2 linked regions of the Ovis aries genome follow. The protein of the gene in region 1 interacts with the protein of each later gene in a biochemical or structural test. Links are inferred from orthologs where the notes say so. Each region holds a gene or a part of one and is shown on either strand. Other genes may lie near its edges.

Region 1 (3,814 bases):
AGTCAGGGCCAGTGGGCGGTGGGCGGGTGGGGCAGGCAGTGAGCGGGCAGCGGGCCCCACCTTTGTTGTCATGCCACACGCGGATCTTCCACAGGCGGCCCAGGCTGTGTGGGGTGGCGATCTGGAAGACATCCAGGCTGTTGCGCTGGAAGGCTCCATCCCCATCCAGGTGTCGGTGGCCGCTGCGGCCATCTGCCCCATACAGCATGATGCCCACGTGAGCCGTGGTCCCTGGAGCAGGGGCAGACATGGGCGCAACTCTGGGTTTCTGTCCATGGACACTGACCCCGGGTGCATCTGCCTGTAGATCTCCCTTCAACAGGCATGGCCCTCGCCCCATGGCTCTGACACAGATGACCTCAGGCCCTCACACTGTTCCACAGACGGCCCCAGTAGCAGTGGAGCATTAACTGTGAGCGGCCACATGGACCAGAAGCGCGGCTGCCAGCCTGCAGTCTGCTGCATAAGGGACCTGCGTCCTGGTGGTGACTGGCGGCACCGCCTCTTCCACAGCCTGCTGCTGACCAGCCCCCACGCGCCCGTCTCACTCCAACCAAGAAGCACACAGTGGTCTCGCCCCGTGTCGGCCACAATAAACCCACAAGATGCTCTATGAATGTCATAGAGAGGAACAGAAAAAAACATCAAAGATGAAAATTTCCCTGGACTTCCTTGGCAGTCCAGTGGTAAAAATCTGCCTTGCAATGAAGGGGACATAAGTTTGATCCCTGGTCCCAGAAGATTCCACTACGCGGTGGGACAACTCGGCCCGGGCGCCTCAGTGATGAAGCCTGGGCTCTAGAGCCCGTGAGCCGCAGTATTGAGTCAGCACCGGGAGCCCGTGCTCCACAGCTAGAGAGGAGCGCCCGCGCCTCTAGAGAAAGCCCACACAGCAACGGAGACCTGGGGCAGCTTCAGGATAAACACACAAAACCTTAAGAAAACAAACACTTTCCTAATAAGAGAGGGAACCTGGTGATAAACACGAAAGCACAACAAAGAGATGAAAACCGGTACCGAAAAAGTGCACTTTGAATCAAAGGCAAACACGCAACTGAAGACCCAGCCAACTGTGCGGCTCCTGCTGCTGCCCCAGGCCCTAAAAACGCCGCCAGTGGCAATGAGTGGCCAACATGAGCGAGGACACTGGTTGCAACAAAAAGGATGAAGACACCGCAGAGCAACCAATACGGCAAATGCTTCTTCACATGCGATGAGCTCTCAGAGGTGCTTCACAGCAGGAGCAAGGACGACATGGACAGTAAAATGACCTCTGGCCAAAACACAAGGACGCCCCTAAGGCAGTGCTCACTGACGGGAACACCGCTCAGACTACTCGCTCAGTTTCCCACAGAGAAACAAGATGCCTGATCTCAGCGTCCAACACGCAGTACTGACCCCACGCCAAGCTGCTTCTCTGATGGCTGTAACTGATGGTCAGAGAGCTAGCGACATTGTGAAAACAATTTTTTCACCCAGACCACCCGCTACCGTTTAGTAATCACCTCCCATACGGATAGATGCGCTTCCTTGGGGGCTCAAACGGTAAAGAATCTGCCTGCAATGTAGGAGACCCAGGTCTATCCCTGGGTCGGGAAGATCCCCAGGAGAAGGGAATGGCAACCCACTCCAGTATTCTTGCCTGGAGAATCCCATGGCAGGCTATAGACCGTGGGGCCACGTAGTGACTAAACCACCACACAGTTGATGGTTCGGCTGGTCCTGCCCGCCTGTGCGTGCCAGTGGGACTGCATGCCCACAGGCCACTGCATGTGGACCTGCCCTGCTGGAAGCCCCTCACCTGAGCCCCGGCCCCAGCCAGTCTTGACCAGGATCTCGTACTTGAAGCGGCCCCCCTTCCCGCAGAACGGGATGGCGCGGACCCGGCGGATGTCCAGCTGGTCCAGCTTCCGCAGGATCACGGCCATGACTGCGTAGGTCAGCAGGCACACGGCGCAGGTCAGCAGGACGACGTGGTTGACGCCGGAGGCCGACTCCTAGGGAGACAGGCCCGTCAGCCCCGAGGCCGCGCACCATGGCGCCGGGCTCCCCTCCGTCTGGGTGCGGCGCCACTCACAGGGAAGGTGAACTCGACGCGGCTGGCGGGCACGAAGAGGCTGGCGCCGAAGGCGGTGAGGTGGCGGGTGAGGCAGACGGCCTCGCGGGGCGAAGTCTCCTCCAGCGGCGCCAGCCCCTCCGTGCGCCACGCCATGTGCTCCTCGCTGAAGTACTGACAGAGCGACGTGTACAGACCCACGGACACCGCCAGCGCCGACCAGCGGAAGTGGCTGCTCAGGTTCAGGTGGTAGCTCGCGCCCGAGTCTCGGGACCTGGAGGGGGGCGTGTCACAGCCAGGCCCCGCCCCACCCACCCGGCCACTCCCACCGCAGGGAGCCCGCCCTCTGAGGCCCGGTGCGCGCGCACCCCGGGGCGAGGAAGAAGGTGTAGGGCCTGTGGTCGCCGCCCGCCAGGGCCTCCAGGCTGATCCTCTTGCTGGCTGAGCAGTTGTGCTCGTTGGGCCAGGGCTCCGAGTGCAGGTAGGCGGCCAGGAAGGGCTCGGGCTCGTCCGGCAAGTACTGTTCTGTGGGCGGGCGGCACGGGCAGGCTCAGACCCCTGCCCAGGCAGCCCACATGCCCTGGGAGCCCACCCATGGCCCTCCGGCCGGGCCCCTAGAGCCTCATGAAGCAGGACATAGACCGCAAGTTGGGGGTGCCCGTGAGAAACGCCGGTTTAGCTGGCCACCCTGCAGCCCCACACGGGCTGGGCCGAGAGAGGAGGCCGCCCACCAAGGGCCCCGCCAGCCACGCACCATCCAGCACCGTGAAGGTGAGCTGCAGGTGCAGCCCCGCCTCGGGGTTGCTGTTCTCAGGAGTGACCACGACGCTGACTGAGGCCCGGGGCTGGATGACGGCGGAACCGGCAGAGACGTGCTGGCCCTGGGCGGCCTGGTCCGAGTTGTTGGGCACCTTCACAGTGATGGCGCGCTCTGAGGCGAGCTGCCTGATGGGGATCTGGGCGCCGGCCTGCGTCTGAAAGGCCATGGAGGCCACCTTGGTGGAGACGGTGTAGTTGCTGATGTAGCCGAAGGGGAAGGGGTTGGAGTCCACGAGCAGGATGAGCTGCACCACATCGCTGAGGTTGGGCAGGGCCGCGCTAAAGGCCTCGGGGATGGAAAAGTGGCAGCCAGGGCCTGGGGCGTCACCCTGGCACAGCAGGCTCCGCGGGTCCGAGCGCTTGCCCTGCGCCAGGATCTCCTCGCCCGCCAGCGTCAGGGGCTCCTCGTTGAGCACGCGGGAGCGCGTGAGAATGCCCACGAGGGCGGACGAGAGCTGGTAGGCTCTGGATGCCACCAGGAGTGAGGGCGGCTCCGCCCCCAGCTCCGAGGGCTGTGGGCCCTGCACATCCGAGCTGGCCACGTGGATGAGGTCACCTGTGGGCGGGAGAGGAGGTGGGGGGAGGCAAGTGAGGGGAGGCAAGTCGGGGGAAACAAGTGAGGGGAGGGGTGTGGGGGGTCCGAGGTCGGCAGGGGCGGTGCACCTGTGATGTTGAGGATGCTGTCTGCGATGGAGGTGGGCGTCCCCGCGCCTGTGGCGGTCTCCGCCTGCAGGATGCGCATCATGTCCTCCAGCCTGTGCAGCGTCTTCTTCAGGCACGAGCGGCATACGAGCTCCCGGCTGGGCACCTGCAGGGCGCCCGCACCGTGTCCAGCTGGCTGGCCAGGCCAGGTGGGGCTCACCCCGCTCACCCTGCCCCTAGCGCAGCTGCTGCAGGGGCCTCCCCGCCTCCTCCGGCCGATTCGAAGCACCCATCCCC
Region 2 (3,814 bases), on another chromosome or scaffold:
TCATTATATATGAAGAAAACATTAGATAGGACATAGTATCAACACCATGATGATACTAGTATTATTTCTTTGAATCAACAATCTCAAGATAACTAGTGTGAGGATATTTCATCTGATCATGATTGGCAAAAAAAAGTATTAAGTTCAGATTTCACAAATTAATGACTTATGGCTAGCTATCCAGGAGTTGGATCCTACTATTCAGTACAAAAAAAAAAAAAAAGGATTGCTAAGTAACATTGGAGAGCCATGTCGAATATACCCAAGGGAACAGCTAAAGAATTTTCAGCTGACAAGTTGTTTGCATGTAGCTGCTTCCCACTTTTAAAAAAAGGAATTATCTTTTCTTAAAAGAGGCTTTAACTTAGAAGGGATATGAATTAGTTATAAATTATATATGTAATTCTAGGTAATAAAACAAAATTTCTTTTTCAATATTTTTGATGTTGATTGAACATGTGGAAATTTTCTTCAGGGACTGGTTTTTCAAGTCAATTGACATGCATGATAAAAATCATATAAATTATTAAAAATTATTTATATAGCATTCTGGAATCTGCCTTATTTACCTTTTTGTTTTTGGATGCAGAAATGGGAAGATACTTATAGGACAGAATTAGAAAAACAATAACTCTTTAAATAGAACTCCTGGCATACTTGAAATGTCAAGATAACAGAATATCAAATAATTCCAATAATCAAGCATTTACTCCCTTATCCTTATGATGTAATTAAAAATATGTAAGTATAAAATCCTAAACATATTTTATAAATATGAGAGGTGAAAGCAAAGTCACTCGGTTGTGTCTGACTCTTTATGACCCCATGGATTGTAGACTACCAGGCTTCTTCATCCATGGGATTTTCCAGGCAAGAGTACTAGAGTGGGCTGCCACATCCTTCTCCAGGGGATCTTCCCAACCCAGGGATCGAACCCTGGTCTCCTGCATTGTAGGCAGACGCTTTTACCATCTGAGCCATCAGGGAAGAGATATGAGAGAGATGAAAGTATAATCTATTAGTCTATATTGAGATATGCTTTGCCTATCAGTTTTTCTCCTGATTTTTAAAAATACCACTTCCCTCATACTGTACGGAAAAAATTGTGTGTTGCATAGTATCTCTTTACTGGACTTGGAGAAACAAGGTTGCATAAAAAACCATAATACCACAGTGTATTATGTGTCAACTTATATGTTAAAAACCAATATACTCTCATTTTTCAGGGTGGGCAGGGCTAAACTGGTCACTAAAACTTAGATGTATCAGTCAGCTACTTTTCTTGTCTTCCCTTCTCTTCCTTCCTTTGTCTTCCTTTTCATTTTTTTTAATTATGTCAAAAATCTTCTGGACTTAAAAAAAATAACTCAGATATCCATCTTATATAAAGCCAAGTAAAATAAAATCTCAACCAGCCAAATCTTCAGAAATAATTGTAGAGATATCAGATGTACCATCTGAGAATAGAAAAATGCAAAATATGAATTAATTTCTATGCCCCACCTTACATTTATCAGTTATTCATTCGGCAAAGAACATGCATAATACTTTGTAGCCCTCAAGGTGGTACTTGCTAACACTTATTTAAGAGCTAATCTCTGTTACACACTTTACCACATTATTTTACAGGACCTTTCCAGAAATCCTCTTTTTTACAGAGAAATATTCCAAGCACTAGAGAATTCAAGGAACTTGCCCTCGGCCATATAGCTCAGAACTTGGCAGGCCAGGGATCTGTGCCCAGGTCAGCTGAATTGAGAACCTGTGATCTTTACCCCTGGGGATGAAGAAAGCCAAACGCTGAACATACGTGTACCAGAGCTTGGGATGGCGGCTCACGGAATGATTTTTTCCATTAGTTGGAGTGTCTTTTGTTGCTGATTTACTCAACAGGAATTCTTGAAGCTTCTGCTTTACTTCTGTACTTGCCACTGCCCCTGAAACACACACACACAGAAACAGATGGTGATTTGGGGTTCTGTCTTTTCCTGCCTCTGGAATATTACTGGTCACAGCATATGAGTTTTCCTATTAAAAGAAAAAACGAGAGTCTAAACAGGCTTTAGAAAATGACATAGTAATGTTTCATAACTACTGCTTCAACTGCCAATTTTCAAAAGACCTCCGATGATTTAATTGCTTTTACAGAACGGGGATTCCCAGAATTAATAGTAGTTTTTTCCTAAGCTTTAAAAAATACTGCTGAGGAACGAAGCACTGTTTTTTAAAAGTCAGGAATCTTGGGGGATGATATAAGTGATTAAACACATTTAAATGAGCTCTTCTGAATTTCTAGTTTTCAAAAACTAACTTAAAAAAAGGAAAACTTTTGAGCGTTAAACAAATAAATAATGCTGACAATTTCAGTTCAAGTCATCACATTTTAAACCTTGCTACGACCTGATTTTGAACTGACCTCATGCAGGGGAATTATTTGGATCTGTCTCCCTCTTGTGGATAGTTTTTTGTTTTTTTTTTTTTTTTTTAAACACAAGTTCTACCTTAAATCTTTCCAAAGTCTGGGTACTTAAAAAGTAAATGAGACAAGGCTTGACTTATTAAACAGCAATCACTACTTGAATGGGAAGAAGGTGGAGTAATGTGGAAGTAAGTTTATCATGAAACACAATGGCATAGCCATATTGCCTTAGCATAACGTTATTTTTAAGGTGCAAAATAAAAGATATTATCATCTTTGCCAAGTAAGGTTAAATTTACTTCCAAAGATGCCTGTAGACTGAATGCAAAGAGCTGACATCTGAATTTCAAAGCTTTACATTTGGGCCCATAATTTATTCTTTTACTTAAACACAGACAATTTTGACAAGTTTAATTCCACTCTTTATCAGGCTCCTTTCTGAATGACAATCAGCTAAAGATGAGGGAAGAGACCCATCTTTTACCCTGGTGCCTCTTACTTTCTCGTCCTCTATCTTTGCCTCTGAGAGGAGGAAGCTGCTGTTCTCTGCGATGCCTCTCTACTTCCTGTTCTTGCCTCTGCTGCTCCAGTTTCTGCTCCTTTTCTAGCAGTTCTTGCTGCTGTTTTATGGCTAGAAGTTCCTGTTGCAACTTGCGAGAAGAGAAAGACATGAGAGTGTGCAATTTCTTTAGGCTTCATAGTCATCAACGACCAAAATCGAAATGTTATGAGCTTTTGGAACTTACTTCTATTTACTTTACATTTTACCCTTTTTTTTTTTGTAGATTATTGAAATCTAAAGACAAGCAACTAATGCCATTAACTGTTTTACTGTCATTAACAAGCAAGTTTTTAGGTAGCTTCATTACCTACGCCGTCCTATCAGAATATTACCAAATTCACGCAGATCTTCAGTTCCTTGAGTGACTTTTCTTTGTGCATCTGAAATATATGATACAGCAAAGAAAACCAGGAATTTCCCAGTCTGTTTTACCAAGTCCCTCACAACATAAACAACTGAAATCTTAACTTCTTATCCTAAGAAACAGTATGAACATAATTAAACTGAGCAGAATAGTGAGATATGAATTAATTTGGGAAAAATACATCTGAAATAAAATGAAGGCTAAAAGTTTCAAAACCTTACAGAGAAGGTTTTCAATAGATGAAGACAATCCCTAAATCTACCACAAGCTATTTTCTCAAAATAGCAAAGTCTAATTAATTAGTTCACTCAGCACACAAAACTCCTCAGTTACAGACTGGTCAAGAAGAAATCACTTCCACAAGACTACACTTTGATGCACTACTGTTTGGCTGTTTGAATACTTTGAAGTCACTTCTAAATAATGTACAACATGAATATAAAGCATTCTTAAAAACCATCTGAGTTGT

Evidence for each region.
Region 2: the proteins of PKD1 (region 1) and HDAC9 form a complex in vitro, tested with the Homo sapiens proteins (2 studies listed by BioGRID, with this or other methods). The link is inferred for Ovis aries from reciprocal best matches to the Homo sapiens genes PKD1 and HDAC9.

The regions. Positions count from the first base shown.
Region 1 is NC_056077.1:2,155,326-2,159,139, forward strand, and holds part of PKD1 (polycystin-1), read right to left. Parts: intron 3,684-3,814; coding exon 3,539-3,683; intron 3,432-3,538; coding exon 2,811-3,431; intron 2,582-2,810; coding exon 2,425-2,581; intron 2,331-2,424; coding exon 2,078-2,330; intron 1,998-2,077; coding exon 1,802-1,997; intron 232-1,801; coding exon 61-231; intron 1-60. UniProt on the Homo sapiens protein: Component of a heteromeric calcium-permeable ion channel formed by PKD1 and PKD2 that is activated by interaction between PKD1 and a Wnt family member, such as WNT3A and WNT9B. Both PKD1 and PKD2 are required for channel activity.
Region 2 is NC_056057.1:28,170,968-28,174,781, reverse strand, and holds part of HDAC9 (histone deacetylase 9), read right to left. Parts: intron 3,070-3,814; coding exon 2,919-3,069; intron 1,938-2,918; coding exon 1,811-1,937; intron 1-1,810. UniProt on the Homo sapiens protein: Responsible for the deacetylation of lysine residues on the N-terminal part of the core histones (H2A, H2B, H3 and H4).